Linked DNA regions of Mus musculus: regions 1, 3, 4, 5 and 6 are each reported to be linked to region 2. Evidence: microRNA targets listed by miRTarBase, many of them from high-throughput screens and not tested one by one. Region 2 holds a microRNA gene; each other region holds the end of a gene's coding sequence.

Region 1 (5,314 bases), not on the chromosome of region 2:
TTATATGTGAGCACACTGTTATTAATTAATTATATGTGAGTACACTGTAGCTGTCTTCAAACACACCAGAAGAGAGCATCAGATTTCAATACGGATGGTTGTGAGCTACCATGTGGTTGCTGGGATTTGAACTTGACCTTCAGAAGTCGTCAGTGCTCTTAGAGTGGCTGAGCCGTCTCTCCTGCCCCTATTATTTTTTGAGGCAGGGTTTCCCTGCAGAGCCCTGTACCCAGAGACCAAGAAGTGCCACAGCCTTCCAGGTGCACCCACCCTCATCATTTCTCCAGAAGCCAACTGCCTGTCAGCTATTTTATTTCCCGGTGTTCTACTCCGGACCAGAATGTTACCATTCGGTGACAACCCAGCACATTATCAACTGTTCCCTGTAGAAGCTGGGTTGTTCATTATTTTGTCTTCAACTCAGGCCCCCTGCCCACATCTGGACACGCTTCTGTCCAGGCATGTCCCGAGTTTCTGACGTAACTCTGAGAGCTACTGTCTGAGCCTTGTGCCTTCTTTCCTTCATTTTGAACATAAGTGGTGAAAATGAGTCACAGGAATTGTGCACAGGAGAATGCCTTTCTATTTTCATACTTCTGAAGTAAGAGCAGGTGTTATTGATTTGAACATTAACATTCATCTTTCCATATTAGGGACTGGTCTGGTTAAAAGACAAAGATGCAACCCACTGTAAGCTTTGTGAGAAGGAATTTTCACTCTCCAAAAGAAAGGTAGGTAAGAGAAGTGAAAATGATTCCAAACGTTGTGGCAACAAAAATGGCTTCTAATTTGGTTTTATTTTCCCCGGATTTTTCCATTTAATAGCACCACTGTAGAAACTGCGGAGAAATTTTCTGTAATGCCTGCTCTGACAACGAGCTGCCTTTGCCTTCTTCACCAAAGCCAGTGCGAGTCTGTGATTCCTGCCATGCAATGCTCATTCAGAGATGCTCCTCTAACATGCCATGACTTGGAACTCCATTCTCCTGCACAGCACCACCTGCAGCGAGGGAGGGCTGTGTGCCCAGTCAGTACTGTACCTTGCCTCCAGCTCACAAACAGGTTTCTAAGTTATATGGGTTAGTATTCCGTCCCTGTACTTAATCAGATTTTAAGATAGCATGTTTTAGCACTACTTCAACTATCAAGTAACCTTTAACAAAAGGTCAGATAGCAGAGCTAATGCACATTTGCCTTACCTTATAGAGGCCTTTTTGAGAACAAGGCCACAGCTTATTTGCTTCTGAACTGATGAGTAGGCACTTGAAGGTGCCTGTCTCTTAATGCACTTTAGAAAGCGTCACAATTCTCAGAGAAAAACTGGAAATGCATTCACTTTATGTTATATGCCGATTTAACGGTTTTTAAAATGGTGGCCCACGCCTTCAATCCCAGCACTTAGATGCAGAGGCAGGTGGATGGATCTGAGTTCAGTAAGGCCACCCTGGTAGAAAGAGGAAGTTCCAGTCAGGACAGCCAGACTGTCCAGGAAGACAGACTGAATCAAAGTTGTTTATTTTTTACCATAAGCTGTCTTGCCTAAGCTCTGAAGTGCTGGGATATAGGTGTGTGCTTCCATCCCAGGTCTGTGTAGTCTTCATTGTCTGGTAAGATGCTAATTTAGTTGTATTTATTTGCTTGTTCTTCTCCCTTCTCTACAATGGAAAAGACCAATGATTTAATCCCTTCCTTTCCTTTTTACTTGCCCACATCTTTCATATAGTGGACTAAAGGACCAGTGGTCTGGCCTCTAGCTTTTCCTTCACTTATAATCATCATCCTTATCACAAATACTAATTTTTATAAAGGGTCAGATTCCAAAGGAGAAAACATTCCTACCCAGGGAACAAGGGGACCGAATGAGACCACAGGCCTTTAAAGATTGATTCTAAGCATTAAAATTAAGAGGACTGCTATGAAAGAATTAAGTTTCTCCACCCTCAGTTCTCTTAAGAATAACTTCTAGGAAGCATTACACTGGCATATTTACGCTTGCCCACAGTAGAATTTCACCCTCTATGTGTATTAGGTACTTTAGATAGTAGCTCCTTATTTTTTCAAGCGGGGGTGTGTGTGGGAGACACGGAGCATTAAGTTACTTAAATCATGACCATTTAGGATAGGATCTTTAATATATTAATTTCCAGCCTTATACTTTTAAGTCTATAAAGCCTTTCAAAACTCTAGTGATTTTACACTCCCAAGAACACTGCTCAGTGACTGGGTATTTTTCTGATCCCCTTTTCTGCAGGATCTTTTCATTTGCTACATTTCAGTAAGTTTTTGTAAATTGCCAAAATTACAAAACCAGTATTTACCAGCTTCTGTGGTCAACTTAAATTCACTCCGACAGATTTCTAGATGTTTCTTTTGGAGACAGGGAAACCCCAAGTTGGCCTCCAACCTGGTGTGCAGCAGGGGAAGACCTTGAACTGCCTGACTTCCACATCTCCCAGCTGCTGAGATTACAGCTGTTGAGTGTTTGTATGTGGTGCTGGGGATGGAGCCCCTGATACTTTGTACACATTGGCCAGGTACTCTACTAACTCAGTTACTCTCCCAACCCCAGATGTCATTATATATATATATATATATGTATGTATGTATGTGTGTGTGTGTATATATATATATATATATATATATATATATATATATATATATATATATATATATATATATATAGTGAAAACCTGCTGGCACACACACAAAAAAGAGACAATTTAACTGCTTTGTACTGATGGGGATTACTAGCATCTTTCTTTCTTTCTTTCTTTTTTTTTTTTTGAGTGTAAATGAAAAACTTCAAATACTTTATTATGTGCTTTTTATTACCACTCAAAATTTGTGTCATAAACATGGGCCTTTTCTGGAGCAGCACTAACGAGTTCCCCTGCTGTGTGTGAGATAAGAATAGAGCTGAGTGGTAGAATGGTTGCTTATCGTGGCTATTAAGGGCCTGGATTCTCAATTCACAGCACTACCACCAAAAAACATAAAACCACCCAACTTTAAATTTAGGATATCCTATTTATTACATAACATTCACAATTCTTATTTTGCAGAAAACTCGTGTCATTCCCTTACTTACCTAGCCAGTACTACCACAAAGATGTGATCATGGTGCCAAGGAATTGCAAATGTAATTCTGATCTGTAATGTTTTTAAAATAAATGTGAATTTTATAAATCGAAGATCTAAGAAATTAACACTTACTTATATTGCTTTAAAAGACTTGTTTGTATCTGCTTATGTGTGTGTGAATGTGTGCCATGTGTGTGCAGGTGACCAACGAGGCCAGGAAAAGGCATTGGACTTAAGCGAGGCTGATCACCTGATGTGGGTGCTGGGAACCAAACGGCCCTCTGAAAGAGCAGCGAGTACTCTTTATTTATTTATGTATATGAGTACACTGTAGCTGACTTCAGACACACCAGAAGAGGGCAACAGATCCTGTTACAGAGGGCTGAGCCTCCGTGTGGTTGCTGGGAATTGAACGCAGGACCTGGAAGAGCAGCCAGTGCTTTAACCGCCGAGCATCTCTCCAGCCCGCAGCACGTACTCTTAACCACTCTACCTACTGAAGTACTCTTTAGCCACCTGCTTTGAGATGTAAGAAGCTTGAAGTGCTTGTGACTTCTGTGCGAGGTGTGCAGGCACCAAGTTAAACCCATTAAGACAGAAACTCACTGTTTCAGGCCGACAGGCTCCAAGTGACATGCTGTGGCAACTCTCTCTTCTTAGCATGGGGGAAAAAAAAATCACGCCTTTGTAGTTACTTGATCAGAAACCTCAATTTGGCATCCAACAGTATATTGCCTTTGCTTCCCAAATGCTGGGATTAAAGGCATGGTGATACTTGATACCAATAACTAACACAACATATTCTAGGACAGACAACATTCCCATGTTGACATTTATTACATTAATAACATATCTAGCAAAAAACAAGTAACTCAATAACTGAGATCACACTGACAGGTTCATTTTGATCCATTAGCCAATTTGGGGAAAAGTCTTATTGAGCAAAGTAATAAAAAGATTAGTAGAAAGCACGTTTTCCTTCTACACAGGGCACTTAACTACTCAAAGCCAGTTTCAGACGCAAAACCAGCTACAGCATTGTTTTATAGTCTCCTAAATGTAGTCATTTATACCATTATAAAGACCCTGTTTTCTTGGGTGAGAAACTGAAAATACAAGTAAGCATATACCCATTATAGTAAATGCCCGTGTATTTACAGAGTTTTTCTGTCATTATTAAGAATTTCAAACTACTCCAACAAACTCAAGTTTTGGGAACCATTTTTGGTATCTTAGTCAAGTGCTATGAGGGTTTTATACCCCTACCCCCATTCATAATACAATTTGTGAATATTTAGAATCCAGATACGTCTTGAATTATTCAGAGCTATGCTTGATAAAAGAGACCGAAAAGAATACAGAATTAGCTTATGTTCCTGAAACCACCTGAACGTATCTTTAGGCTTTTTATTTACAGTATGTCCAGGGGTGAAAGGTAGTGCTACCCTAGATGCCTACTTAAGACTCGCTGTCTTGCCCTCTATCACTGCACTATGCTAACAGTAAGATACATTATCCCAAATCTTATGAAGGCAGCACATCTTTAGGAGTACCTATATATAAAAAGTAGCAACATCAGTGGTTTGAATATAAAAATTTATTTAAGTCAAAGTATGCAACAAATGAAACAACCTACAGAAAACAGATTTTCCCATCGCAGTCTGTTGCTTTACCAAATAATATAACACATTCCTTCAGTCGTTATAAAGTTCTTGAAATACAAAAGAAATGAAATCTGTAAGAAAGTCTAGTAGAGCAGGTGTGTTAGGACGTGTACGTTGGGGTGGTGTTGTCAGTACATCCCACGCCATCCACCTCCACTCATTCCACCTTGCCCATAGTAACCTCCACTGCCTCCACCACCACGACCTTAAGAAGACAGTAAGAACCGTCCATCAGGAGACATCCATGTCTTTAAATGAAGGACACTACCACAATACAGAAACAACTACTTACCATAGCCTCCCAAGCCATCAGGAGCACCGTAGCCTCCGCTGTAGCTGTTCCCCATCCCCATTCTCCCAACAGACCCGTATCCTCCTTGATTATCTGCACACAGAAAAGAAGCCACAGAGGATGACTGCCTTGTGGAGTGGCCAACACTTGCTCATTCTACACAATTTACAAACCTAGGTTTGGAAGGATATGCTGAAGCATCAAGGAGAATTGTGAGTTTTGGGCCATCCTGTGTTACAGTGAGGTGCTACCCATCACAAATACAAAACTATACATA
Region 2 (5,192 bases):
GGAGGAGGAATCTCCCTTTCTTGGTCACAGAGCTCTGGTTCATCCCACTGTGGATTTGATAATCTCCCAGAGACACGTGGTCCTTCAAACTCCTGTACCATTGGGCCGCTATCAAGTTCTTCAAGTTTCTGATGGTGTCATCTGTGTTGCATTTAACCCTGACTTCCTTTCCAAGAAGGTTGTTGTTAGCAGCCTCAATCATTGTGGTGGCAGCTTAAATCTTGACGACACAACCTGTAGTTTGAACACTGATCCTATTTTATTTTGTTAAGTATTTATTTAATGTATATGAGTACACTATTGCTGTTTTCAAATACACCAGAATAGGGTACCAGTTCCCATTATAGATGATTGTGAGCCACCATGGGGTTGCTGGGAATTTAACTCAATACCTCTGGAAGAGTAGTCAGTGCTCTTAACCACTGAGCCATCTCTCCACCTCACACCCCTTATTTTTACAAAAAAAAAAAAAAAATCTGTTATACGTGTGGGTGACCACGAGTGATGTTATATGTATGATGTTCAGGAGACAACTTGCAGGAGGATATCTCCTTCCATTTTGTGGTCTAGGAATACAATTCCCGTTAAGCTTCGTATTCGAGCCATCTCTCTCTCTCTCTTTTGTTACTCCATGACAGTTTTTCCTGTATTGAATCCCCTCAGAATTTATGCATCAAGTTATGTGGCATTTTGTTTTTCATACGGCACTAAATTTACTAGAATACTAGTCAACTTAGGGCAAGCATGGTAATGACATGGCTGTAATTTTTGCACTTGGGAGGTGGAGGTTGGAGGACCTATTCAAGGTCATTCCCCCACTACCTAGTTAGTTCATGGTCAGCCTAGGACACAAGAGACCCTGTCTCACAAAACTTAAAAAAAAAAAAAAAAAAAAAAAAAAAAAAAGTCTACTTAAGCCAACAACAGTGACTCTTGATTCTCCTATGGATGCAGAGAGTCAACACATGCGCATGGACACCAAAGCCCAGCGCCTGCGCACTGGGCAGTTTTTGCCTTTTGGTTCCCCCCCCCCCCCCCTTTTTGGAGTGTGCGCACCAAGAAAGACAAAGGTGGTGAAAGTGACCAAGCAGTCATTCGGGCGCATGCCCATCCCTAAATTGCCCAGGCTCCATGGGGCTCACTTTGTGGAGGCGGAAGTCCAATCCGATGCAGCGAGCGCGGCCCCCCTCTCCCTTTGATTGGTTTGCTTCCAGTGTTGTGGGGCGGGGAAAGGAAGGGACAGGGACAGTGGAAGGTTGGAGTGGTACAGAGAGCGTTCGCCTCGTTCTGCGCAAGCGCAGAGAGGCGACCAGGAGGGGGCGTGAGAGAGTGCAAGAGAATGTGGAAGCCCTGACGCGCTGGCGAGCGGGAGCTGGGTCGCTAGCCTAGACGCCTGCGCCTTGGCCCTCCGGCTCCGCGCGCGGCGGGCGGGTGCCCTGTGCGCCTGCGCAGTAGGCGGCGGCAGCAGGGGGAGGTGGAGGCCGTGGAGCGGCAGCGGCGGGTCCCGGGACCGAGGCAGCAGCGGGGGCGCCGGCGGGCGGAAGCTGAGGTGACGAAGGCGGCGGCGGCGGCGGCGGCCGTTTCCCTCACGGTGGCGGAGACCAAGGCAGCGGCGGCGGCGGCGGACGGGGAGCGGCCCGGCCCCGGCCCCCTGCTCGTCGGCTGTAGCAGGGCCGCCGTGGGGCCGGCCCGGCTCCCGCCCCCCGCGGCTCCCCCTCCGGCTCCTCCTCCAGGGAGACGCCGGGGACCCGGCCCGGCCCGCACTCAGGGCTCTGTTTCAGCTGCTGCCGGGCCAGTCGGAGGTGGTGGCGGCGCCATGGGCGGCCTGGCCTCTGGGGGGGATGTGGAGCCGGGACTGCCCGTCGAGGTGCGGGGCTCCAACGGGGCCTTCTACAAGGTGAGACGGCGCGTCGACCCGGGCCACCCTCCTTAGCCCCCTCCCCCAGCCGAGGCAGGGAAGAGTGGAGCGGGATCGAGTTTCTGGAGCTTGGTCTTGACCCTTAGAACCTTCGACCCACGTTCCCACTCGAAACCCTCCCGTGGCGATCGTGGGAGTTAACCCTCGTGCTTTTATTTTGAGCTCGCTGTTACACCTGCTTTTATCAGCTGAAAACATGGCCATCAGGTCATTCCTGTGCGGGGATGGGAGCCCCGGGTCCCTTTGGAGAAAGCCCTTTTCCTAGCTTCTAATCGACTTTTCTTGTTTTTTTTTTTTTTTTTTTTTTTTTTTTTTTTTTTTTTTTTTAGTGTAGGCGATACTTCAGCTTTTAATCACATCACCCCTGCAGCCCAAGCACATGGAGGATTCGCATTCTTTTCCTACATGACCCCCTTGGGAAGGTCCACTGTCCCACATTAGGTCTTCAGGGAGCCTTCTGCCTACTGGCTCTAGACCATTTGCTCAACTTTTGGTCTTAAATTCCTGTTCCCAGGCTGACAAGAAATGGTCAAAACCCATCTGTGTTATTTAGCATTAGCATCTTTGGCCTCAGGTTTTTATCAGCCAGCCATAAAGTGGATTTGTTGGACAAGTTTGTCACCCACCACACCTATATTCCAAAATCACCTATGAGGGATGGATTCACGCTTATCTCTTTGACTCTAGATATATTTAGGTCATTCCTCTATCTTCTTGGTAAGTTTAAGCTTCACTGTCTCTCAAAGGCCATCTCAACAAGTTCTTATTCTAACAGATTTCTGCTTGTTGACAATCCTTCTGGAAAGAAAAAAAGTATCTTTCAGAATTGCTTCTTTAATCAGCTTTTTCTTTGCCTAAGATTTGATTCCTGTGAACTTTTTTAAGGGGTGTGGTTGGGACAAGATCCCCTCCCTGGCTGCACTTGAACTCTTCCTCAGCCTAGGATTACAGCTCTGGCGTTACTGGTTGAGCCACCATGCCAGACCAGACTTTTGTTTTTTCCTTCTTTCTATCCACCACCCACCCCATCTTCTGTATCTGTCCTGAGTCTATTCTGGATCCCACGCCCCAGATATTTTCTTCTTCTGATCAGTGGGGTTCTGAACATCTTTTGACTTTTATGAGTGGAATTGTCCCGGACACGTTTGGTCCCTCTCTTACTCTTCATCCTGGAGAGAAAGAGGAATTTCCATAGCATGAGATGGGTGAGAAGAGCCCCTTTTTCTTCAGGTTTCCTCAGGTTGTCTGTCCCCCTACCCTAGTAGAACTTCTACTTTCTTATGCCCTTGGAAATAACTTTCTCTGACTCTACTATGAAATTGTATCTTTTTTGTAGCTGAAAAAAGACTTAGGTTTGCCCTACCCCTGTAGATGGTTCCTACCCTCACTTCAACTGATATGCTAGTTATCCATTATAAAGGCCAGGCCATTTTTTTCCCTTTTCTGATCAAGTTCTTTACCCAGTGCCTATGGGTGCACATACCTATTAGCTTTAATGCAGCTTCTCAACTAAGTCTCGGTCTTTTTAGCTTGGTATTTCTGTATTCCTGTGTATCCTTGATGATGTCTACCTGTCTAGTCTGTGTATAGCTGAAGAAGGCTCCTAGCTGATTCTGTCACTTTCCTAACTCTTGGTACTTTTTCTTCAGACCAGAACAGTGTCTCTAACATTTCTGTTTTCTGTAGCAAAAGTCTTTAATTCTTTTGGCTTCTGAGAGGACACATTAATGTTTTAATATCTATTTCACCCACATTTGTATTACCTTTGTTAAAACAGTCTCCTCAGGCTGGGTATGGTGGTACATACTCTAACCCTAGTACTTAGAAGGCTAAAGTAGGATTGTTGAAGTTCAAAACCAGCATGGGGAATGGAATCCAGTCTAAAACAACCCAAACAAACCCAAAAAGTACTCTTTATTATGCTCTCTTTTCCTCGATATGTTAGTCTTCATCTGTATCCTTCTAACATCAAAATGTTAAAAATTCCAAAAAAGCTGTGTGTAGGTGTGTGTGTGTATATACATACATACACACACACACACCTACACACACACCCACCCCCGTTCGATTTCTGGGTACAGGATTTCTCTATGTAGCCGTGGCTGCCCTGAACTCAAACTCTGTGGGATAGGTCTGCCTTTGTTGAGTGCTGGGATTAAAAGCATCCACAACTACTCTTAGTTTGAAAAGTGGTTCTTAAATTGAGTATGAGATCAAGATAAGATATTTGCATTTGGTTTAAGGAAGCTCAGGAGCCATGCACAGCTGGGACAGATGAGTGCTCAGTTCCAATTAACTGTATGACATGGTTGGGCTGGGACATGAATTCTGTTACACATATGGGTATCCAACAGAAAGTCTCTCTTTTATCCTTTTATTCTGTGGGCCAGAGCAGTGATAGATTTGAGGGAAGCAGGGACAGGATTCTTTGATAGTATAGAGTTAATAAAAGCCAAATATTGAGTGTAGATTTTGTATTCTGGCCACTTCAGCACTTTCTGCTCCATGACTGAGTTAAAGACATTGCCTAAGTGTAATGTAGATACTTACCTATTCAAACCTTGCTGATTAATATTTATGACTCAGCAAACTTTGGTGTGAGTAAGGGATACTAACTTTTTAGATCTTTTACGTTTGGGGAGATTCTTTTCTCCTCTCACAAAACTGTTTTACTGTGATTTTTCTAGAGCCAGTAAATATCAGATCTGAGGTCTAAGTTATTTTAGAATTATCCTATCAAACTTGGCTTTTCTGTCAGGATGTGATGTGTTTTGTTAAGGTGGTTTCAGGTGGCTTGGGCTTTTAACCCGGGATGACCTTGGACTCCTGGTTTACTGTGGCCTTTCCTAAGACCTGGGATTACAGGTGCACACCATCAACCCCAGCTTCATAATGTGTTTTGTTTTGTTTTTGTTTGTTTTTTGAAACAAGGTTTTTCTGTGTAGCCCTGGCTGTCCTGTAACTCATTCTGTAGACCAGGCTAGCCTCAAACTCAGAAACCCGCCTGCCTCTGTCTTTTGTTGTTTTTTTTTGGGGTGGGGGGCAGGATATCCTGTGTTGCCCTGGAACTCACTCTGTAGGCTAGGCTGGCCTTGGAAGGTTTAGGCCACCACCAACCTGTTAAGATGGGGTCTTATTGTATAGCCTTGCTTTGTTGATAAGGCTAACCTTGAACTTGAGGTCTCATCTTAGCCTTCCACTGAAGTACATCCTCAGCCAGGTAGCCCTCCTCCGATCTCTTCCTTCTTTCTTCCTTTCCCTTTCCCTTCCTCCC
Region 3 (5,314 bases), not on the chromosome of region 2:
CGATGACTGCACCATCGTGGCCTACGGGAACCTACACCCACAACCACTGCAGGACTCACCAAAGCGCTTTGACGTAGAGGTGTCGGTGCTGGGCTCTGAAGCCTTCAGTAGCGGTGTCCACTACTGGGAGGTGGTGGTGGCGGAGAAGACCCAGTGGGTGATTGGGCTGGCCCATGAGGCTGCCAGTCGCAAAGGCAGCATCCAGATTCAGCCTAGCCGCGGCTTCTACTGCATCGTTATGCATGACGGTAACCAGTACAGCGCCTGCACAGAGCCCTGGACTAGGCTCAACGTCCGTGACAAGCTTGACAAGGTGGGCGTCTTCCTGGACTATGACCAGGGCCTCCTCATCTTCTACAACGCCGATGACATGTCCTGGCTCTACACCTTCCGAGAGAAGTTTCCTGGCAAGCTCTGCTCCTACTTCAGCCCCGGCCAGAGCCACGCCAATGGCAAGAACGTCCAACCACTGCGGATCAACACCGTCCGCATCTAATCTGGGCAGAGGGAGACCAAAGCCTCCTGGGGCTGTGACCACCAGCAAGAGCCTTGCCTGACAGATGGAGGACCTGGACTGCTCAGGCCCACTGTGGCCACCCTGAGACCTCAGGCCAACTGTTTGTCCCCTCCTCCTCCCCTTCTGCGAGCTGGAGATTGCACTCCGTGGTTGATGCCCTGTGGCTCTGATCTTAATGGGATGTGACATGGCTTCTCCCCAGGGCAGCCCTTGCCCAACCCCTCATCCCCATTCTCTCAGGAACAGGGAAGCTCTCTGTTCCCCTCCTCCTGCCCAGCTAACCTAGCATCGTGACAGGTCAGATGTGATCAGTAGCTAGCAGCCCAAAAGGTATACAAAATCCTCTTATGCCTAAGAATTGACTCACCCTTGACCAGGAGAGCTATGGGCCATTTTACTTTGGATCCAATTCCTTAGGGGAGCTTGGCAGAAGCTGGATTATTTGAGAGTCACCCTCTCTTGCTACCCGTGCTCCAAGCCGAGAACTGTGGGTTTCCTCCTCTCTCACTGATCTGCAAGTCACACAAGACAGGTAGCTCACAACATACCATTACCTTCTAGCCCATGGATTCTGGGGCAGAGTGAGGTATAAGGACCCTAGAAACCCATATAGAAGAACACCATCAGGACAAAGCACCAATGGATGATCCAAGTCCCCAACAGCCCCTGGGGACAGAGGTCCTACAATCCTCATCACACAGGTCTCTGACCTACTGCATGGACGGAGAGGGTGCTGGCAGCAGCTTTTTTTCCGTCAGGACCTGAAGCCCAGGAGATTGTTATCGGGTACCACCCTGGACTTGACATCTGGCTCCCTTAGGATCCTGAGGCACAAACAATAGCCGCCTTAGTTGACTTCATCAGACAAGAATTTGCAGTCAGCTCCCTGGTGACTTGCAAGATCACTGAAAGGGATGGAAGAGGACAGCCTTTGCCAGAGTTTCCAGGAACAGCTCCCACCATCTAGAGGGTTTGTGTCTTGTGACCAGAATGGTGCTTCCATTTGCAGCTGCCCCACAAGCTGCTGGCTGCCACCATCCACGCCAGAAAGTTATTGTCCGTGTCTGTCCCACCACACCACACCCCCCAACTCGGGTCCCAGTTCTACATCTTTCAGAGGGATTCTTTTTGTGGAAACTTGAGTCCAGAACCTAGACTTTGACTGCAAAGCACTCTGAGAAATGTAGTTTTTCCTCTTCCAGCCTCAGCCACAAAGTTATCATGGAGGTGGAATAGATCCATCCACAATTTCCTTGCCAATGAATCCAACTGTGAAGAACTCAGGAGAATCCATGAATCCACCTGAAGGCCTTGGCTTTGAAACAGAACTGCTAAAAATGTCCTGCTCCGTGACTCTGTCCCTGCCTGTCCCTGCCTGTCCCTGCCTGTCCCTGCCCAGAGGCAACAACTTAGGGAATCAGTAGCATCAGAAATAGAGACAAAATGACTTCCCAGCCTGGGCCTTCCTTTGTTGCCCCAGGTCCTCAATTCTGTACTTGGGATTCAGTGAGCATGTCCATCTCCGGTGAGCCAGAATATGAACTTGAGGGGTTCTCACTCACAACTGCCATGTGCTAGCCCCCCCTGAGCAAGAAGAATCCTGAGTCCTGCTCTTCCTCTCAACTCCCAGACACCAGGCCACGCCTGGCAGTATTTTTATTTAAAACATGGCCCCTTTTGTGCATTCTGATCAGTTTGTATTAAATTAAAGTTACAGGGCACAGGTGTACGTTCCATTCATTCCGACGAACGCAAAGCGATGTTCCACCCTCAGGAAGGGGACAGTCATTGGCACGGCCAGTCCAGTTCCCCAAGGCAGCCCTGCTGGATACAGATCAGGAGCACAGTGAAGTCCAGAGAGAGGATGTGACGGCTGAGAAGCCCACAGCCCACACTGGACAGTGAGATCTGAGTTCTCGGCCAGCACCCTCATCAATCAGGGAAGACCTCGTCTCTGCCTAGGGGAGAATGGGTGTCTTAGTCAGGGTTTCTATTCCTGCACAAACATCATAACCAAGAAGCAAGTTGGGGAGGAAAGGGTTTATTCGGCTTACACTTCCATGCTGCTGTTCATCACCAAGGAAGTCAGGACTGGAACCCAAGCAGGTCAGAAACCAGGAGCTGATGCAGAGGCCATGGAGGGATGTTCTTTACTGGCTTGCTCAGCCTGCTCTCTTATAGAACCAAGACTACTAGCCAGAGATGGTCCCACCCACAAGGGGCCTTTCCCCCTTGATCACTAATTGAGAAAATGCCTTACAGTTGGATCTCATGGAGGCATTTCCTCAACTGAAGCTCCCTTCTCTGTGATAACTCCAGCTGGGTCAAGTTGACACAAAACTAGCCAGTACAACGGGGTAGCCAGGAAGGCAGAAAAGAGTCTGGTCTCTTAAACTATATAGGCTTGGGCTCTATCAGGCTTCACTCTAGGAAAAACAACTTAACCTCGTGGGGCCTCAATGACTCCCCTCGGAGAATGGGGCTAATAGCTTGCAGTTCACATGTTTTACTAGGAAGCTGTAAAATGTACAGTCACGGAGGCCCTGCCTCTCCTCCACTGCCTCCTGCAGTCACACCCGAAACAACATAGACATTCTAACCTGCGCTACCTTGACCAGTGAGAAGTCCACCTTTCTCCTGTACGCTGTGCGGAGCATGGGACAAGGTACACAGAGAAGGAGGTCCTGCCTCTAAGTGATGGGGAAGCAGCCCGGCCAAAGTCCAGCAGGGCCCTGCCCATGAGCGCTCACTCACTCAGGCTGTGACCATGGTGAGCCAGAGGTCTGCCTGGTCCTCTACAGCTCTGCAATGTAAGAACAGGAATCTCGGGGTCTAATCCTGGCTTTTCATTGATTCGTGCTACCGTAAAGTGATATTTCTTCCTCTCCTTACTCGAAGACTAGATCAGACCCTCTCAGATACCAGCTGTGTCTTTGTATGGTAGAGGTAGGATGAAAAACTCCATACTAGGTCCTGGATTGTTTCTAGGCAGAGGGACATGGTGTGTGTGTGTGTGTGTGTGTGTGTGTGTGTGTGTGTGTATGCGTGCGCGCACTAGAGACCAAAAAAATTCAGCACTGGTGTACTGGCTAGTTTTGTGTCAACTTGACACAGCTGGAGTTATCACAGAGAAAGGAGCTTCAGTTGAGGAAATGCCTCCATGAGATCAAACTGTAAGGCATTTTCTCAATTAGTGATCAAGGGGGAAAGGCCCCTTGTGGGTGGGACCATCTCTGGGTTTTATAAGAGAGCAGGCTGAGCAAGCCAGGGGAGGCAAGCCAGTAAAGAACATCCCTCCATGGCCTCTGCATCTGCTCCTGCTTTCTGACCTGCTTGAGTTCCAGTCCTGACTTCCTTGGTGATGAACAGCAGTATGGAAGTGTAAGCCGAATAAACCCTTTCCACCCCAACTTGCTTCTTGGTCATGATGTTTGTGCAGGAATAGAAACCCTGACTAAGACAACTGGAGTCAGAAGCCTGGACTACAGAGTGAGACTTGGGGAAAGGATATGGGGAAGGAATACAGGGAAGGGGATCTTGGGATTGTCAGGATCACAACGCAGTTGAGAGGGGAGGCTGCAGGGAAGGACTAATTGATTGTCTCGGGCTCATTGTGGGTCCCCATACACGGCCTGTAAGCAAAGTGCTAGTACACTTTACATTTCATCTAGCCACAGAGAGGAGCCCATGAGGATAGTGTCATTATCTTAGCGTTAGAACCACGAAGCAACGCTTCCCAGGGGATCCACAGCTGTTCCTCGGCAGGGCTAGTAGCAGGCCCGTTATCACTAAAGCCACACTCCACTGGACCTCTCTGGAGGGATGTTCTCTACGCTGAGGACTGCTCCGTGATGGGCAGCCACCAGGACTAGGCTCCTGGGCTTCAGAGGGGCTTTGAACCAAGGTCCCTATGGTTTAAAGCTCATGAAGCCCACTGTGTGACTTTGAGCAGGTTCCTTACCCTCGCTGGCCTCAGTTTCCCCATGTCTACTGGGGAGAGTTCAGAGATCACCTCGATTACCAGGGTAAGTGAAATATTGGGTCCCACAGCTTGGACTATTTGGTCCCCAATAAATGAGGCTATTATCTCTTTGTCCCTCTCTCTGGGGTGGTGGCAGAGACAGAAAACAACAAAGATAAAGTCTCTTGGCAGTACCCAGCTCACCTCAGAGGCTCTGGGGACAGGCCTTTCCTCCTGCCAGGGAGGCCATCCCAAGAGGCCGACTGCTCACATGGACAGATTCCTCCCCTCCTGCCTGGGTCTCTCAGCTCTGTTCAACAGCCCCAAGCTCACCACCAGCTCAGCTAGAACCAGGACCACCACACCAAGAGGTCGGTTGCAAAGGCCTGAGTCACGGGCTTAAATCCTGGGGGCTGGGTGAAGGCCAAGGGGGAGGAGATGGGAGCTGGCCGAGGTGCTGAACCAGATCCTAACTGTCCACTAGGTCCTAATTCTGCAAATTCTGGACCACCTGAAGGAGGAAGGGTCTTGAGAGGCAGGACAGAAGTGGGCTGCACAGAAATACCAGGGGAAAGACCAATGCCTTTCTTTTGAAATGCTCATTTTCTCTTCTGTATGTGTGTATGTATATATATATATTTGCCCTAAATACAGAACAGTCTTCCAGTAGTTGGGGAGATAGCTCAGTGGGCAAAGCGCTTGTGGTGCAAGCATGAGAACATGGATATGAATCCGTAGAACACACACCAAAGCTAAGAGCATCAGCCCATATCTGTAGGCCCAGCACCAGGGAGAGTGGGGGGAGACTGGCAGATCTTGATAAGACTCTATCTCAA
Region 4 (5,314 bases), not on the chromosome of region 2:
AAGAGGATGACACATCGCCACCTCTTGTCTTTTCAGAGCAAAACCTGGAGCGGCAGGTGCTGCAGACGCAGTGCCGGCGGTTGGAGGCGCAGAACTACAGCCTCAGCCTGACTGCGGAGCAGCTGTCTCACAGCATGGCGGTGAGTCGGCCATGGGCTTTGTACAGGCACCCCCAGAGAGGACAGGTCTGCTCCCGAGAAATCAGAACTCAGTGCCAGGCATACTCGCCATGCTTTAGCCCCCAGGGGACAGGCAGATCTGGGAGGTTGAGGTCAGTTGGGGTCAGCCTGGGACGCATAGTAAGGTCCTGTGTTAGGAATAAAGAGATGTTATCTGAGGAGAGGCCCTTGTGCCCGCCCCAGGGTGGGCACATGTGCGGGGCCGGTCGGACCTGGGATTCAGAGCCTGAGCTGAGGCAGCAGTACACACTGGTTCTCTGGGAGCCTGTGGTGCCGGAAGAATGTTCTAGCAACCTCCAGAGGTCACTCACGCTGCTGTGTGTACAGATGGTTCTGACGCGCATCTTCTCCCCAGGAGCTTCGGAGTCAGAAACAGAAGATGGTCTCTGAGCGGGAGCGGCTCCAGGCGGAGCTGGACCACTTGCGGAAGTGCCTTGCCTTGCCCACCATGCACTGGCCTAGGGGCTACTTTAAGGGATATCCGAGGTGACGGTTTCCCTTGCACTAGGCTGAACCTATAGTATAGAAATATTATCTATTTTATTACCTTGAATATTTAATATTTTTCACTGGGAGGTTTGAAGCTTACAAATTGAGAACGTGCCATGCATGAAACAAAGGGTTCCAGGCTCCAGAGAGGAGATCACCTCGACGCCAATGTCACCGAGGCACCTGTCTCAGCTAGGACTCAGTTTCTCTTTCTGAGGTCGGCGTTATTTCCTCTCTCCCCCCACGTCATCCTCCTCCGACACTGACGTCCACCGTGCATGTGGCTGAGGGAGAGAGCCAGCTGGTTGTTTCTGGTATAGCTGTGCCACGAGAGCCCAGCTTGCTGTTGCTGCGGCCCTGGGGTTTAACCTCTTCCTGCCAGGAGCGGGACTAATGCGCCGGGAAGGCTGGGTGCGTACAAGCAAAGGGCTCCCCATCAGTCCCGTCCGTCTGTCGCCTTCCCGCAAGCGTCATCATCGAAGCCACTGCTCCTGGGAGCACACAAGCTTCTCCCTGGAACAGCTCTTAGGAAAAGAGGCAAACCCACACCCAAAAGTACCTTGTTTTCCTTGGGGAAGATGCGTGGAGCTGTCCACAGATAGCCTACCCACTGGATTGCTACCGCCGTGTGTGGTGTTTTCATACAAACGTACGTTTTGAGAGAAAAGTCAAAGGTGCTTCAGCCTTGTACTGTGTATATATTAAAAAAAAAGTTTTGTATGTTTTTATTACTTTAATTATTGTTATAAAAAGCCTGCCATTTTTAATATGTGGTTTGGGGAATTTTGTTTGTTTTTCCTGTTTGGGGGTTTTCTTTGGTTTTTTTGTTTGTTTGTTTCTGTTTTTCTGGATTTAAAAAAAAAGAAAACCTTGCTTTTAGTGTTTGTACTGCTGCTGGTCAGAATGTTGTTAACTGCTCAGTTCTAGGAAGCAGGAGAGCTCGCTTGTGCAGTGTCCCACACAGCAGGGCTGAGGGGCCTAGGGCTGCCTGCTCTCCAAAGCAGATGACCCATGTGCGGCAGGGACTCGGCAAAGCTGTGAGGAGCTGAGCTCCGGAGACAGGCACAGCTCTGGCAGAAAGCTCAACGCTAAGGGATCTCCTTCCCAGTTTCAGCACTTCAGTCAGGGCTGACCAACTTGAAAAGAGCCTCCGACTGTCCTCCATCGGACAGGGGAAGAGGAGGCCGAGCCCACCCTTAGCCACCAGGCTCAGTGGCTGTACAGAGCAGCTGGCTGACATCTGTCCCTGCTCCACCCCTGCCCCTACCCGCACCCCTCTGGTTCTCAGCAAACTCAGACAAGGCAGTGCCACCAGGCCTGTCAGCAAAGCACCTTCCTCTGCCCACAGCCAGTCAGAGAAAACGATCCAAAGGAGGGCAGAGGCCGCACACCCTGGGCCGAGTCCTGCCCGACTTCCCAGTTAAATGCTGCTTGTGCCCAGTGCTGCTTTCCCAAGCTCACCCCACCTCCATGACTAGAAGCTTCTGCAAATCTGCTTGGTAAATGTCTCCTGGGAAAGGCAGAACCCATAACTTAAAGACACGCACAGTCCCTTCCATTGTCCCACAGGAGTTCCTCTGGCTGAGTATGCCATCCAGAGCAAGCGATGCCCTCCCAGGTCAGTCTGGGGCACAAGCTGAGCCGCTGACTAGCAATGCCTACAGCCTTTCCCAATGCCCTTGCCTGCCCTGGAGCTTCTAGGGCCACCTCTAGCATCTGGAGACCGAATATCCCCATGCTCAGAAGTAAAGTGACAATCAGAACCAGGTACAAGCCAGTAAAGCGGCAGATGACTGCCACTCAGCCCACATACGGCATTCTTCCCATCCCACAGTCTTAGAGCCAGATGAGGCTAACAAGACCACAGTAGCCCCCTTCCCAGGTACCACACTGTCCCTGGAGATCCCTCCAGCCTAGCCCTGCTATAGATCTGCTCTAGACTGTGAAATCAGCATGTATGTGAAAAATCCCAGTCCTTGACCATGTCTCCCACTCCACCTGCAAGTGATTGCTGCCATCTGTCCTGGGTGGGATGCACCGAGCTAGTCACGGGTGTCGGATCAGATCTTTTAAAAACACTTGTCTCATGTAATTGAGACCCGCCACCATCGCAGATGAGTGACAAGAGAGAAGGCTGTCAACACTTCGGTACATGGTGATCTTAAAAACACCCACCTGCACCATCACACCAGACTGTACCACTAGGGCATCCAGAACAAGCCCCACCCTAACAGTGGGGGCAGGGAGGGTACAGCCAGGCTCACAGCACTGAGAGTCTCAACCAGCTAAGCTAAATTGCAAGCTAGATGCCTCCTGCCCCTGCCCTCAGCTGCCCAGGCCCCAGCATGGAGATGGCCTGCACAGCAGGCTCAGCACCTCTGAGGTGTGCATTAGCCACTTATAGCAGCAGTCTGTACTCTTTCAAGTACGCAAGCTTTGACTTCACTACTTGCTGTAGCCTGTCCCCACTGTCTATCCAGTGCTTACTTCAACCCTAGAGGCTGCCTTGACCCGAGGAGGCATCTCACTGGTTCCGTACTTGTGTGTGCCCTACGCCTCACTGCTGGGGCCCTGGACCCAGACCCAGGCAGGAGGGCCGACGGGTGCCTCGGTCGCTCTGGGGGCAGTTTAGATGCTGTGAAATTAAACCCGTTCTAAGTGTACTTGTTTGAATTAACTGTATTGTAATATTATTTGTTGAATGTAGTAATTAGGTATTTATGAATATATTGCTGTAATTTCTGACATCCCGAAAAATAAAATCTTCCTAAATCATGTTAAGACGAAATTCATCTTTTTGTATCACCACCCCCACCCTCACGCTCAGCCTCAACTACATACAGCTTTCCACGGGCCAAGCTTGAAGACACTTGAGCTGAGCTGGCCCGAACACTCGCTGTGCTTGGCGTGCAGTCCTTGGGTGGAAGAGAAAGGCTGGCGGCTTCTCTGTTCAATGGAGTTGAACTTGCAGTATGGCTGACCTCTGACAAAGACGGGCAGCAACCTTACCAGTGTTCCACACTCTTCCCCCAATCTCCGCCACACAGGGCACACAGCAGGGTTTGCACAGCAGAGGCCTCTGGCTAGAAGTCCTGCGACTGGGTGCTCTCGGAGGGCTGGAGGTTTGTGCGGAGCTTGTACATGTGGTTGAGGGCCTGGGTGAGGAAGGCCCCGCTGCTGCTGATCTCCATCAAGGTCAGGTTGTCCAGCTGAAACACAAAAGCAAGTGAGCGGAGGAAGTCTTGGCTTTAAGGCAAAGCTAGACTGCTCAACCGTGAGTTGTTGGCTCCTGGTACTGAGGGTGTAGGCAGGCTCTGAGAGCCAAACCCCCAAGTCCCAGTGAGCCACTGCTCAAAGCACAGCTTCAAATCCCTGTTTCATGCTGAGCAGGCAGCATGGCCTGACAGCTCCCTGGGAAGCGGTCACACTGGCAGGCAGTGCCCACTGGCACCGGGCAGGGACAGGAGAACCATGCCTACCTTGGCATGTGCCTCTTGCTGCCGCACAAAACTGTCAGCAGACACTCGAAGCTTGGCCATGCGTGTGTCCCACAGGTCTTTGATCAGTGTCCGGATGGTGTCTGCTTTGGGGATGTTGTCAGAAGCACTGAAGATAAAGAGGCAGAAATATAGAGGCACTCAGTAAGTTTACCGGGGACAGGCAGAAATGGCTGCTTCAAACAGCAGCATAGGGGCAGGACAGCCTAGCAGTTAGTGCTTTGTGCCCTTCCCGAGGATACCAGTTCCACTGACAGCATCCAGCGGGCAATGCCCGACTGCTTATACCAAGATACAATGCATCCTAGCCTCTGTGGACCCGGAACGTGAAGTCGGTCACAGCCACATGCACAGAAACGAATCTTTGTAAACGAAGCTTGAGCACATGACTGTGACCCTAGAACTCAGAAGGATGAAGCCAGGAGAATCAGAAGTTCAAGGATACATAGAGACTCCGTTTGAAAGGGGTCGGGGGAGCCTCGCACAGACTTGAGAGAATCCTGGGGCTCTGTTCTTTCCTTGGGTTAGGATGTCGGCAGGTAAAGCTTAGCAGCCATGGCCAGTGGCTACACAGAATGACAGAGCAGTGACGTACTAAAAGCCAGGAGTGGAAATTATAATCCCAGCACGTGGACATACATGCAGGATAGTACAAATCTTGTAGACAATAACACACTGGAGGGGCTAGAGACAGCTCAGCAGTTACCAGCACATACTGCTCTTGAAAGGACCTAAATCAGTTCCCAGCAACCTCCGTGGAGCAGCTAACAACCGCCTGAAATTCCAGCTTCAAGAGATCCAATTCGCTCTTGTTTCCTTGGGCACTGCACTTACACACACATAACCACACAGACACAAACACATGGAATTAAAAAGGAATAAGAATATGTCTTTAAATGAAAACTGAGAAATTGGACAGTTGGGACACTCCCTTCAGGATAACAACAGCCTCTGCTGTGTAATTTATCTCAAGTTGGTATGGAGGCTGGCTCAGATCAGCAGCTCCCTGGTTTTTAACAGTGACATAGGCTCACTATCCATCACCACCAGGCAAGCTCCGTGCAAAGCCCTTTAAGTGGTATGTCTAGTCTCACAAAGGCTGAGAGACAGGACTGCCACTGTGGGGGACACAAAACCACAGAGCAGAAA
Region 5 (5,314 bases), not on the chromosome of region 2:
TTTTTGAAAAGCTGTTGGTCAGGTGAGAGAATTATTGAGAACCTGGGAAGTGGAAAACTTTGAAGAGCAAGGATCTTTCAGTTGTTTGATCTAAGTGAAGTTGACTACGGTTAAGTGAGCTCCAACTCTCTATGGTCACCCCATAGGGTCTTATTTGATGCTTGGTCCCTGGTTGGTGGTAGGAAAGATTAGTATGTGTAACCTTGGAGGAGATGTGTCACTGCAGTTGGGCTTTGAGATTTCCAAAACCTACACCATTCCCAATCTCTCAATCTGGATTTATGAATCAGATGTAAGCTCTCAGCTACTCCTCTAGTGTCATGCCTGCTCTCATTCCTTCCTACCATAATGGTCATTGACTACCTCTCTAAAACTTTAAGCAAGCCCCCAATTAGATGCTTTTTTCTATAAGTTGCCTTGGTCATGGTGTTTCTTTACAGCAACAAAACAGTAATTAAGACAGTTGTTTTGTTTCTTATAATTTCTAACACCAAAAAAATGCATTTTAAAATATTTTTATCTTATTATTGTATGTATGTGAGTATAGCCATGTATGTGTTATAGCTCAGTATGAAGGACAGAAGACAACTGTCCAGAGTTGGTTCAGGCCTTCCACCATGGATTCTAGGAATCAGAGTATAAAAAAGGCCTATGCCACATAGCCACCTCTGGCACTTGCTGTTCCCTAGTGTAAGTTCAGTTAAAGAAGGTTCTCTCCTCTCTTTTTCAGGGTGCTGATAAGACTGTGAAAGGCCCAGATGGACTGACCGCCCTTGAAGCCACTGACAACCAGGCAATCAAAGCTCTTCTCCAGTGATAGATGGATGGACGGACTGATAACTTGGGAAGGATGACTCTCCTGTGGCCTCACACTGCTGCCTGTCTGTCTGTCACTTTCTATCTGCCAGCTTCTTCAGCTAAATACTTTAAGAGGGTGAAGGGAGAGAGAAATTCATAACAAATCAGACTGCCAGGGGAGGGGAATAAAACATGTTTTGGAGGAGCAGTGGGGAATGTGATGAGACTTTTACTGGGATTCCTGATCAAACCAGCCTGTTTTTCATTTCCAGTAAAATATACAGCTTATTCCCAAGGGAGAGCAAAAATACAGTCTATTGGAATCATTGGACCTTCTCAGCTCCCTAGCTAATTTATTAATTAGTTTATTGAAGGTCTGACTATACAAGGCCAACTCTACTTATTTGGTAGCCCTAGCTGTGAGCAGTAGTGGCTGCTGTTATGTCAACATAGGGTGCTGAGATAAGCAATTAGCTATAGCCTTCTGCCTTAAGAATGCACTCTCCTGGGGGCTCCTGGCTAGTTAAGAGCGGTTAGTGACCAAAATCTCTCTAGAATGACGTTAATCTTTACATAAGAGCTTAGATAAGGTAAGGAGCAGCGCACTCCTGAATTGCTGGATGACTAAACTTTGGATTTTCTCTCCCCTTTCACATCAATTTCATGTCTCTTTAGATAAAACTGACTAGTTTTATTTATAAAATGTTAAATTCTAGGAGCCTAAAGGAGGAATCATTCCAGTAGGCTTATTTCTTTTTTTCTCCTTTAGACTCAGACATTTATATAACATTGAAACACTTTGAGACTCCTTCTGGTAGTAAAGGAGATTTAAAAATAAAATCATAGCCATAAGCGTGTTAGTATCTTATAAAGAGAGAACAGTTGTCTTAGTACCTATGGAGTTTCTTCATTTGCTATTTGAGTGAGCCAGCCTTCGTTGTGTTTGGAGAATGAAGAATATTCTTTGGAATGCCTCTCAAAAACCCACCATGGATGCTGATTTTATAGTGCACCAAAGGTATCACTGGGGTGAGATGTACTGTATTTGGACAGATGGGACCTCATCCCTTCAAAAACATTCTTGTTACCATGTTCTCCTGAGCTGGTAATAGACTCTTGCTGGGCCAGTACCACCCCACCTGCATGGTGTTTTTATCTTAACAATCATTCTTTGCATACATGTGACAACTTCAAAATGCATTCTGTGTTCTTATAATACAGTGCCCTAAAACGGTATTCCTAGGACCTGCAGATAAGAGAAACTTATCTCTAACTTTTTCTTTCATGAACAATAAAATGAATTAAAACATACAACCTTAAATTTGATGGCCTACACTTTAAGTATTAAGATGTCTTTTGCTTTTAATTTGCCATCTATACAGGATTACAAAAACTATTAGAATCTTTCCATAGCCAATCATGCAATAATTGAATGTACCTCAAATTTTTAAAGGGTAGGTGATGGGATAGGGACTTATAATCACATTAGGGATAATAATATTAAAAACCTAACTGATTTTTTTTAAGGCATTGTAGCATTATATAGCAGGGTTAAACTATTACTAAGAACAATCAGCCTGGCTAATAACTATTAATCAGTTGATAATTGGTTGGGGTGTGTGTGTGTGTGTGTGTGTGTGTGTGTGTGTGTGTGTGTGTTCTCCCATGAACTCTTTTTTATCCTGTGGCTTTTTCACTTTCAACTAGCCTGCCCCTGTAGTTTTTCTATGTCCAAGAAAACAATCACAAAACAGTAGTTTAAATACTTTGATATATTTGGCTAGCTCTGCTGTTTTAATGCAGCCTACTAGAGTTGGATATCCTACACTTAATCTTAACCAAAAGGCCAAGCAGCTATAGAGTTGGACATTCTGCTAGGAAGTGGAAGGCACATGATCAGTCTATGAGTCAATATAATGCAACAGGGTGTTTTGAGACCTTTGTTTTCACCTCTTGGCATACTATTTTAAAGGCTTGAATTTTACCCTTTACACAATTTTCAATTTTTCTTTCAAAGTCTTCTGTTATAGTTGGCTATTGCAGAGTGTATATTGTCTTATCATTCCAGAACTTGGGTCTGCTTTCTACAGTCATTATGGTACCAAAACCATATGATTCTTTGTACAGTTTATCCCAGTGTTCCTTGTAATGCAGTAGAGGCTATTTTGCCTTCCCCCTTTGTTGGCCATTTTGTAAACCCATAGCTATGAAGTGATTGCTTGAGAAAATAGCATATAAACATAGACTAGGATAGACTGACCAGGATGGTTTACAGTTTCTTTAAAAAAATAATAAACAAAAATAAACAAAAAAAAAACTAGGTTATTTATAATGTATTTCTGAACCACTTGGCAGAGAAATTCATGACACTTAATGTTAATATTTTTGAATAAATGAAGCTAAAATGTCTGCTTTTGGTACAACACGCATTAATAAAAGGTTAAGTTTTGTTTTCCACTGAAGTACTATTTAACATCTCAGAAAAAAACCCTGCATGTTCTATAGTTTTATATTAAAATCCATCATTTCATATGCACTGTATCAAAAACAGGTTACTTGCCTGAACATGGTTAGTGTACTAACAGGTCTGCCCACCCCTACCCTCACCCCCAGCTTCATGCCAGCATATGTAGATTTGAGTTCTAACACAGCACTTGCATATCCCATGTGCACAAGCTCACCTTTCCAGAACCAGCTGGGCGCAGAAGAAAGGCAGTAACTGCAGCATGTGAAAGCTAAAACAAGTAGCCTTCTAGTCATTTCTTTCTTTCCCCAGCCAGATAAAAGGAGCTTCAATATATGTGTACTTGATTTTTATTCACTTCAGCTGAGCTGCTGTTTCCTTCATGTAATATTGTATACTGGGTTGTGTATAGAAGAAGCTGGTAAGAGTGCCCTCCTTCATAAATAAGCAATTGCAGTGTTTTGCATGCAAATTTAAAAAAATTTAAATTGTCCTGATTCTATTTTGTAAATGGAGAAACAATCTTTCTAAGCAGTATGGAGGAAGACTAGTGCTTTGTGCACTTTTGGTATATTTGAGTTCATGTTTCCACAATGTCATTCCCTTGACACAGTTGGGTTTCTCATAAGTATCCTAGTTCATGTACATCCGAATGCTAACTAATACTGTGTTTAAGTTTCGTGTTGCAAGAACAAATGGAATAAACTTGAATTGTGCTATAGATAACATGTTAGCAACATATTTATCCCCAGTCACTGTTGCCTTCCTTTCCAGACGTCCTTAACGATATGAAAATCTTGACTAACTTGAGATTTTAATACCATTTTATCCTACTTCTAGAAGAAATGAAGAAACCAATTATTAAAGAGCTAACGATACTAGATGCTGCTCATAGAAAAGCTTTTTTTTTTAACTTCAATATAAGTTTTCTGATACACATTGTTGCTGTATATGGGTCCAGGAAGCCTCCTATTAACTGAGAACAAGACACAGCCAGTAGAGCATCAGAGTTTTGATTAATGTTGAAAATCGGATGATGGGCTGTGCTCCTGAGCCTTTCATTGCTCAGGTTGCTGCTTGTTTCCTAGAGAACTACATTTTAGAGTGTACTTTTCTGCTTGAACGCTCTCTTTGAATCTCAAAACTGTACCAGATTATAGATGAAATTGGTTTGAGTCTATTGAAGTCTTGTTGATACCAGAAGACTTATTAAAGGTACCCATTAATTAAAATCAAGAAACAAAACACATAAGTGCTAAGATACTGCAAGCCCTATTGTTGACTAAAGTATAAAGAGCTGATATAGCTTAGGGTAAATGTATTCACAGAATTTTTTTCAGATAAAATTTTCATTTTAAGAATCAAAGTCTATACGAAAAGGCTTCAGTCTGATTAAATGCACTATAAAGGGAATAGAGCCTCTTATATAACACTTTAAGAGCAAACTGGTAGGTGTGGGTGGAAGGCATACCTGCAAAGAAAAGTGAGTTTAACACATCATTTCTTTTGTCTTTAGAGAGCAGCTACACAGAACTTTCCCACTGCACAGTATAGTATTCTCCATCTGTCTTCAGGGTCTCTGAATGTGGTTCCTAGCCAGCCACATTGCCACAACTTTAAAAATTATGATATAAATGCAAATTTAACAAATCCCAACTGAGACCTATTTAATCAACTTTGGGGCTGGACTTCTGGGGGATTTTGATGTACACTGAGGAGAAAGAACCCTGAAAAGAGCCATAAAGAGAGAACTCATCAAATAGGATCATCATCAGACATGGTTCCCAGGGTAAGGAATAGATGGTCATTGTGAATGAAGTTCTCTACACCCAAGAAAATTTAAAATGAGCTTAAGGATTATCTCTTGGCCGAAAGGTTAAACTATGAACCTAAGGATGTATAGTGCTGAGAAAGATTCTTTATTTTTTTTAGTAATGTATGTCATACCAGTTCTCGTCAGTATTTCTGTAGTTCATAAGCCAGAAGTTACAATCTCCACAGCTGAATTCCTGAGACCTGTGCCTTACCCAAGCTCCCCCCTCCCTTTTTTAA
Region 6 (5,314 bases), not on the chromosome of region 2:
CAGGATGTCTGAAGAGTAAGGCAGGGACAATTTACTAGAAAATAGCAGGTCTTAGGTCCAATTTTTAAAGAGGGAAACAGGCAGGGAAGATAAAACGGCACATTGAAGTCACAGGTAGAGCTGACCCCCCCCCCCCCTTTATGTTTTTCCAAGACAGGGTTTCTTTGTGTAGACTTGGCTGTCCAGGAACTAGCTGGCCTAGAACTCAGAGATCCACCTACCTGCCTCTGCAAGTGCTGAGATTAAAGGCGTGCACTACCACAGCCCTACTGACATACCACCAAACTTTTTTTTTTCTTTTTTAGATTTATTTATTTTATGTGTGTTTTACCTGCATGCCTGTGCACCATGTGCTGTCTGGTGCCTTTGGGTCCCGTGTAACTGAAGTTATGGATGGTTGTGAACCACCATGTGGATGCTGGGAACTGAACCTAGGTCCTTTGCAGGAGCAATAAGTGCTCTCAACCGCTGAGCCTCAACACACCAAACTTAAGACTTTTGTAGGTTATTCAATCAGGCCAGGCTGGGATGTGGTACTGCACCTATGGATGCTGGCTACCAGGACCAATCATTCAGTCACTCACCAAGCACGCCTGCACATGGAACCCATGATGAAGCCTGGCTTTGGAAACCCATGGCCTCAGGGATAAGTAACATCCTTCTATGGGCAAAGCAGCCTCTCGTGTGACGGGCTTGTGTGTGCCTCTGCTGGGGTCAGCTTCAGACAGGAACGTTACCTCATCCCGTTCTCTGTGTACCTCAACTGAAAACCAGGTGGTGATGATGATGCTAACCATGTGGTCTTAGCAGTCAGCCTATGTGAGGCTCTCCTGCCAACGAAAGCCTGCCCCTGAGGTGGAGACATCTGTATGATGTCACTGCTGAGGCGGGGCTTTCTTCATGTTATGCCTCCTGATAGTTAATTACACAAACTCCCACAAGGCCACCAGAGACCAAGAATATCCACCAACTAAGACTTTAAGTGGCAACGGACACCATGTCACCAAAGGACCCCATCCCAAAGGCAAGCCACCTGCATTGTATCATGGGAAGCAAAGATGCAGCCCAGGCAGGCACTGACAGCCAGCTTTGTAGGCAGTACAGGGCCAAGTGTACGTGATATACTGATGTGCACACGATTAATGGGAGAGGAAGCTGCAGCCATCATGGACACAACTCAGCTTCTGGGGTAGGAAAGCTCTGTATGGACCCTGGGTGAGCTGTCAATTAGGGAGCCTCAGGGAACTATTATCTCCTATGTCCTGCAGTAAGTAGCCAGCCCTTCTAAGATGCCATTAAACCCAGGAATCAGAAAACTCAATCATTCCTGCAACGGACTCTTGAGAACTGGCTAGTACTTCCTAGTCACAAGCAGAAGGAAGAGGACCCAAGCAGGAGGGTCATGCTGCTATGGAGGTCAGTCCTTCTCTGCACAGAGCACTGAAAGGGGTCATCCCCAGAGTGTACTGGCATTGGCTTGGGAGAGGAAAGGAAGTGAGTCATAGGTCTTTACCATGAGGGGAGAATCTGTGGAGCCGCCTTACAGCCATCATCTGAGCGGGAGCCAGCTGAGCAGCAGCAGTCACAACAGAGCTATCCAAACTGTGGGCTCCTGGACCCCAGGGGTTCCCACAGAGGGCCATGGCACCTGTCCATCCACACTGGAGGAGCAGGCTCTTTCAGGCTAGCTTCAGGGCTCTGAAGTGACAGGTGCAGCAGGCCCAGCATGCTGGGGTGGGGAATGTTGCTGGAATCCCACTGGCTAAGTGACTGATTGAGAAGAAATATAAAAGGGCAGGGAACCCTTTCCAGAACACCAGTAAAGCCATCTGGTGGCTCTACAGCCAGCAACCAGTGTGACTGCTCTCGACTACAGACAAGGACTAGTGGTCATGTCAGAAGGATGACATTGTCCTTTTGTCTCTGAACGCCTGGCCAGCAGACACCACTTGCCCCAGCTTCAGGGCTGGAGAGATGGCTCAGCAGTTAAGAGCACTGACTGCTCTTTCGAAGGTCCCGAGTTCAAATCCCAGGAACCACATGGTGGCTCACAACCATCCGTAAGATCTGATGCCCTCTTCTGGGGTGTCTGAAGACAGCTACAGTGTACTACTACTACTACTACCACTACCACTACCACTACCACTACCACTACCACTACTACTACTACTGATAATAATAATGAAAAAAAGAAACCCAGGTTCTTGCTCTGGCCTTTGGGGCTATCTATAAATGCTCCAAGACCAAAAAAGGGCTGGATTACTCTCTGCCCACTGCTTTAATATAGGGTTTCTCCCTGAACTTGGGGTTCATATTTTCCTAGCTACGCTGGAAGCCAGCAAGCCCCAGTGATTCCTCCGTCTCTGTCCCCTACACTCCTGAGCTGGAGTTAGTGTGCGGATGCCTGGCTTGTTATGCAGCTGCTGGGATCTCCAAACCTCACCACTACATAGCAAGCGCTCTTAACCACTGAGCCATCTCTCCAGCACCCCCACCAACTCCCTGTGGAGCATGCTCAGCAGCCTCAGGGCAATGCGCACTCACGGTGGTTTCTTCCTCCAGTGATGGAGCTGTAGGGGATGGTCCCCTTAGCCTTGGGGATTCGGAGGGTCCAATTTTCCAGGCTAGCTTACCCATGGTGTGTGGCAGGCCCCACCCACTCTTCCATGACACCCACAACGACCCAGTCCCAGGGAAGATCCCTCTCGGCTCCTTTGGTGATGACAGACACTAGCAACTAGTGCTGTTCAGGGTCAATGTTTACAAAGGTCCATTTCTGTATCATTAAAGTGTCTGCAAGAATGCAGGTGGCCCAGGTTTCTGTTCCTGTTTCCAGTCCTGGAAAGTTCACCTGCCCACCCTCCTCTATTCCTGCACGGGAGACCTGACCCGTGGAGAATGCTGCCTGGCCAGGAGGCAGGTACTTGATAACCGGGGCTGGTTTACCATGTGTGACCCTGTAGAGGAAGGAGCTCCAGGGGACGCAGCACTGCCCACTCTGCTTGTTCTCAAGGCAGAGTCTGGTGATTCTACTCTGAAAGGGCAAAGCTGTCATTAAATGTCTTCTCTTTAAAGACTGTGACCACGTACAGAATGCGGTTTGATCTCAGTAGTTTATTCCGGAGACAAAGCAGTGCAAGAGGCGGCCACGCTTCCCACCCCCTGTTTTCAGGGTCAGGCCTGGGAAGGTGACTTACAGACATCAATCAGTTCAACACTCAGGTCCTGTAAACGTGGTTAGTCCTGGGGCTCTGCTTCCGAGGAAGCCAATCGGCTTCTCCTTGCCCAAAGGATGCCCCTGCATGGCCCTTAGTGGCCTTCCCAGGGCTGCTGCTTCTAGTGTACTCTATCTTATTAGACCTAAGGACAACCCAGAGGCCTCATTCTCTTTACATAGTGAGCTGATGTCTTAAGACACAAGATCACCCTTGGGGGTCCTGGGCTGCTGACCTGGGGCTCCACAGGGGTCCTTTCCTGTGGGCTTTGGGGCCAGTGGGTGGTCTGCCAGCTGCTGTGGGGTCAGAGTGAGTCTGAAATGGGGCACAACTCCCTTGGGGGCTTGCCTGGTGCTCAGTGCAAGGGACTCGCTATGAACACAGCAGGAAGGAGCTGGGCCTTGCTGTTCCAGGAGGGGCTGTCGCGTGTGAACAGGAGCAGCCCTGTGGGTGGTCTCCTCTCACCTGAAAAGAGGGACCGGATGATGACATGAGGAAGCAGAGATCCTCGTGGGCTAGACCACTAGACCAGGCCTTCAGTTCTCTGTTTCAGGAGCCACCCTGAAGAGATGAGGTGGTGGAGGCCTGAAGACTCACGGAATGATCTGTTGGAAGTCCCAGGGTAAATCCTGGGTCCTGGCAGACTCCTGGACTCCTAGTCAGATGGCTCCTTCCTGGATCTCAGTGAGCAATAGGGTCAGGGTAGGGTGGATAGTGGCCTGCTGTATTCCACGAGCCAGTGAAGACTAGCAATAGCCAGTGGGCTTCGGCTACACCCACAGGAAGCTCCTTTCCCTTCCTACAACCCAGATCCTCCATGCAGAGCTCCCGAGGGGGCGTCTACTGCTTCCCTGGCTTTGGAGAGCGAGGTGGGGGGGCAAGGGTTAGCCTTGGAGGAGAGCACATCTGGGACAAGAGGGAGGGTGAGGTCTGGGTGTGGGCAGGTGTGAAGAGGAGGGGAACTGGGAAAACCGTTCGTCCTTCGCCTGCTTAGCTGCAACAGCCTGGCCAGATATGGGCTTCCTTCCTCGGTGCCCAGAGCCTGGCCCACAACAGCCATGAAGACAGACATGCACACTCACCCTTGCCATGACAAACACACACACACACACACACACACACACACACACACACACGCACCCCCCCCCCTCACATTCAGACCTAGTGTTGAGAACACAAGCGTGTGTAAACTCAGTGAGGACCTCTGCACAGCAGGAGTCAGGCGGCGTCCTCGAGGCTGGGCCACTTGATGTTCTGCTCTGTCTCCCCCCCTTCATTCCGATCATAACATCAGAAAATCAGGTAAAAAATTAAAACAGAGAAGCCTCAGATCACCAGGAATTCTTAGTAGTGTTCCCATGTGGAGCTGCTGGCCCAGTGGGCATTTTCCACGCTCTGCCCCTCTGGGTCCTGGGCTCTGTGGCTACTGTGAGGAAGCCTTGGTGGCCAGAGAGGCCACACAGTGCTGCTGGAAGCTGGGTGATACGCCAGTGGTGCAGCCAAGTCTCTGGTGCGGCAGCTTGGCGGAAGCACCAGCGCCCATGTTGCCTGCTTCGGTCTCAGTCTTCCAGGGTGTGTCCTGGCCCTTCATGCTGCCACAGCAGCCAGGGCTGGCACTGCACGTCCGCTCCCCAGCCAGGCTGCCTGCCGGTTCCGCCAGGAGCCTGTTGTGCCTTAGCGGGGCCACTTCCTCCGTGGCAGCTCCTCCCGTGCTCTGGCCTTGCAGAACTGTGGCAATGTGGTTCAGGAGGTCGGTAAAGAACTCACTCACTCCTTCATAGCCTGGAGATGGGAGACAAAGCAGGCACTGGGCATTAGCCAGGGGATAGGAGAGGAGAAAGAAGCAGACATAACGGGCTCCTGGGACCTGAGGAGGCACTTCCAGTACCCCACTGACAAAGGAAACTCAGGTTTGGCAGACAAGGCAGGGTGTACATGGTCCACAGGCTGGCTAGACCACAGTCTGTCCCCTGAGCATGAGAGGCCCACACCTCCAGCAGATAAAAAATGAAATCTTGTCTTGCTAGGGACAGCCCTTGCTCACCAACTGCTGTAGTTTGGGTAAGCAGGGCTCTTTCCAAAGCCCACGTGTTAAATGT

Evidence for each region. The annotated mature microRNA mmu-miR-467f reads AUAUACACACACACACCUACA and lies in region 2 at 3,918-3,938, opposite strand. An mRNA with a match to its seed (bases 2 to 7 or 8) in the 3' UTR can be bound and repressed. Matches are read on the target gene's strand: a 7mer-m8 pairs with bases 2 to 8, a 7mer-A1 pairs with bases 2 to 7 and ends in A, and an 8mer does both.
Region 1: miRTarBase lists Rufy2 as a target of mmu-miR-467f. Seed matches in the 3' UTR shown: 7mer-m8 at 2,616-2,622.
Region 3: the mRNA of Trim62 is a reported target of mmu-miR-467f. The part of its 3' UTR that is shown has no 7-base or 8-base seed match.
Region 4: miRTarBase lists Gse1 as a target of mmu-miR-467f. Seed matches in the 3' UTR shown: 7mer-m8 at 1,361-1,367.
Region 5: miRTarBase lists Mtpn as a target of mmu-miR-467f. Seed matches in the 3' UTR shown: 7mer-m8 at 2,843-2,849 and 7mer-m8 at 3,667-3,673.
Region 6: miRTarBase lists Itpk1 as a target of mmu-miR-467f. The part of its 3' UTR that is shown has no 7-base or 8-base seed match.

The regions. Positions count from the first base shown.
Region 1 is chr10:63,010,765-63,016,078 of GRCm38, forward strand. It overlaps Rufy2 (RUN and FYVE domain-containing 2), which reads left to right. Exons shown (of 18, transcript NM_027425.4): 17 at 654-731; 18 at 826-5,314. The coding sequence ends at 969. Hnrnph3 (heterogeneous nuclear ribonucleoprotein H3) reads right to left here. Exons shown (of 10, transcript NM_001079824.1): 9 at 5,038-5,130; 10 at 3,900-4,950. The coding sequence ends at 4,874. Among named protein-coding and RNA genes, the nearest start is that of Hnrnph3, 10 kb to the right of the region's middle.
Region 2 is chr11:69,631,502-69,636,693 of GRCm38, forward strand. Mir467f (microRNA 467f) reads right to left here and starts at 4,018; the gene lies at 3,899-4,018. Fxr2 (fragile X mental retardation, autosomal homolog 2) reads left to right here and starts at 1,470. Exons shown (of 17, transcript NM_011814.2): 1 at 1,470-1,897. The coding sequence starts at 1,817.
Region 3 is chr4:128,909,091-128,914,404 of GRCm38, forward strand. Trim62 (tripartite motif-containing 62) reads left to right here. Exons shown (of 5, transcript NM_178110.3): 5 at 1-2,236. The coding sequence ends at 496. Among named protein-coding and RNA genes, the nearest start is that of Gm33901, 5.6 kb to the right of the region's middle.
Region 4 is chr8:120,577,935-120,583,248 of GRCm38, forward strand. Gse1 (genetic suppressor element 1, coiled-coil protein) reads left to right here. Exons shown (of 16, transcript NM_001145896.1): 15 at 37-140; 16 at 535-3,449. The coding sequence ends at 669. Gins2 (GINS complex subunit 2 (Psf2 homolog)) reads right to left here. Exons shown (of 5, transcript NM_178856.1): 4 at 4,148-4,274; 5 at 3,332-3,877. The coding sequence ends at 3,752. Among named protein-coding and RNA genes, the nearest start is that of Gins2, 8.5 kb to the right of the region's middle.
Region 5 is chr6:35,507,734-35,513,047 of GRCm38, reverse strand. Mtpn (myotrophin) reads left to right here. Exons shown (of 4, transcript NM_008098.4): 4 at 731-4,224. The coding sequence ends at 817. Among named protein-coding and RNA genes, the nearest start is that of Mtpn, 29 kb to the left of the region's middle.
Region 6 is chr12:102,565,488-102,570,801 of GRCm38, forward strand. It overlaps Itpk1 (inositol 1,3,4-triphosphate 5/6 kinase), which reads right to left. Exons shown (of 10, transcript NM_172584.3): 10 at 3,096-4,997. The coding sequence ends at 4,639. Among named protein-coding and RNA genes, the nearest start is that of Chga, 13 kb to the left of the region's middle.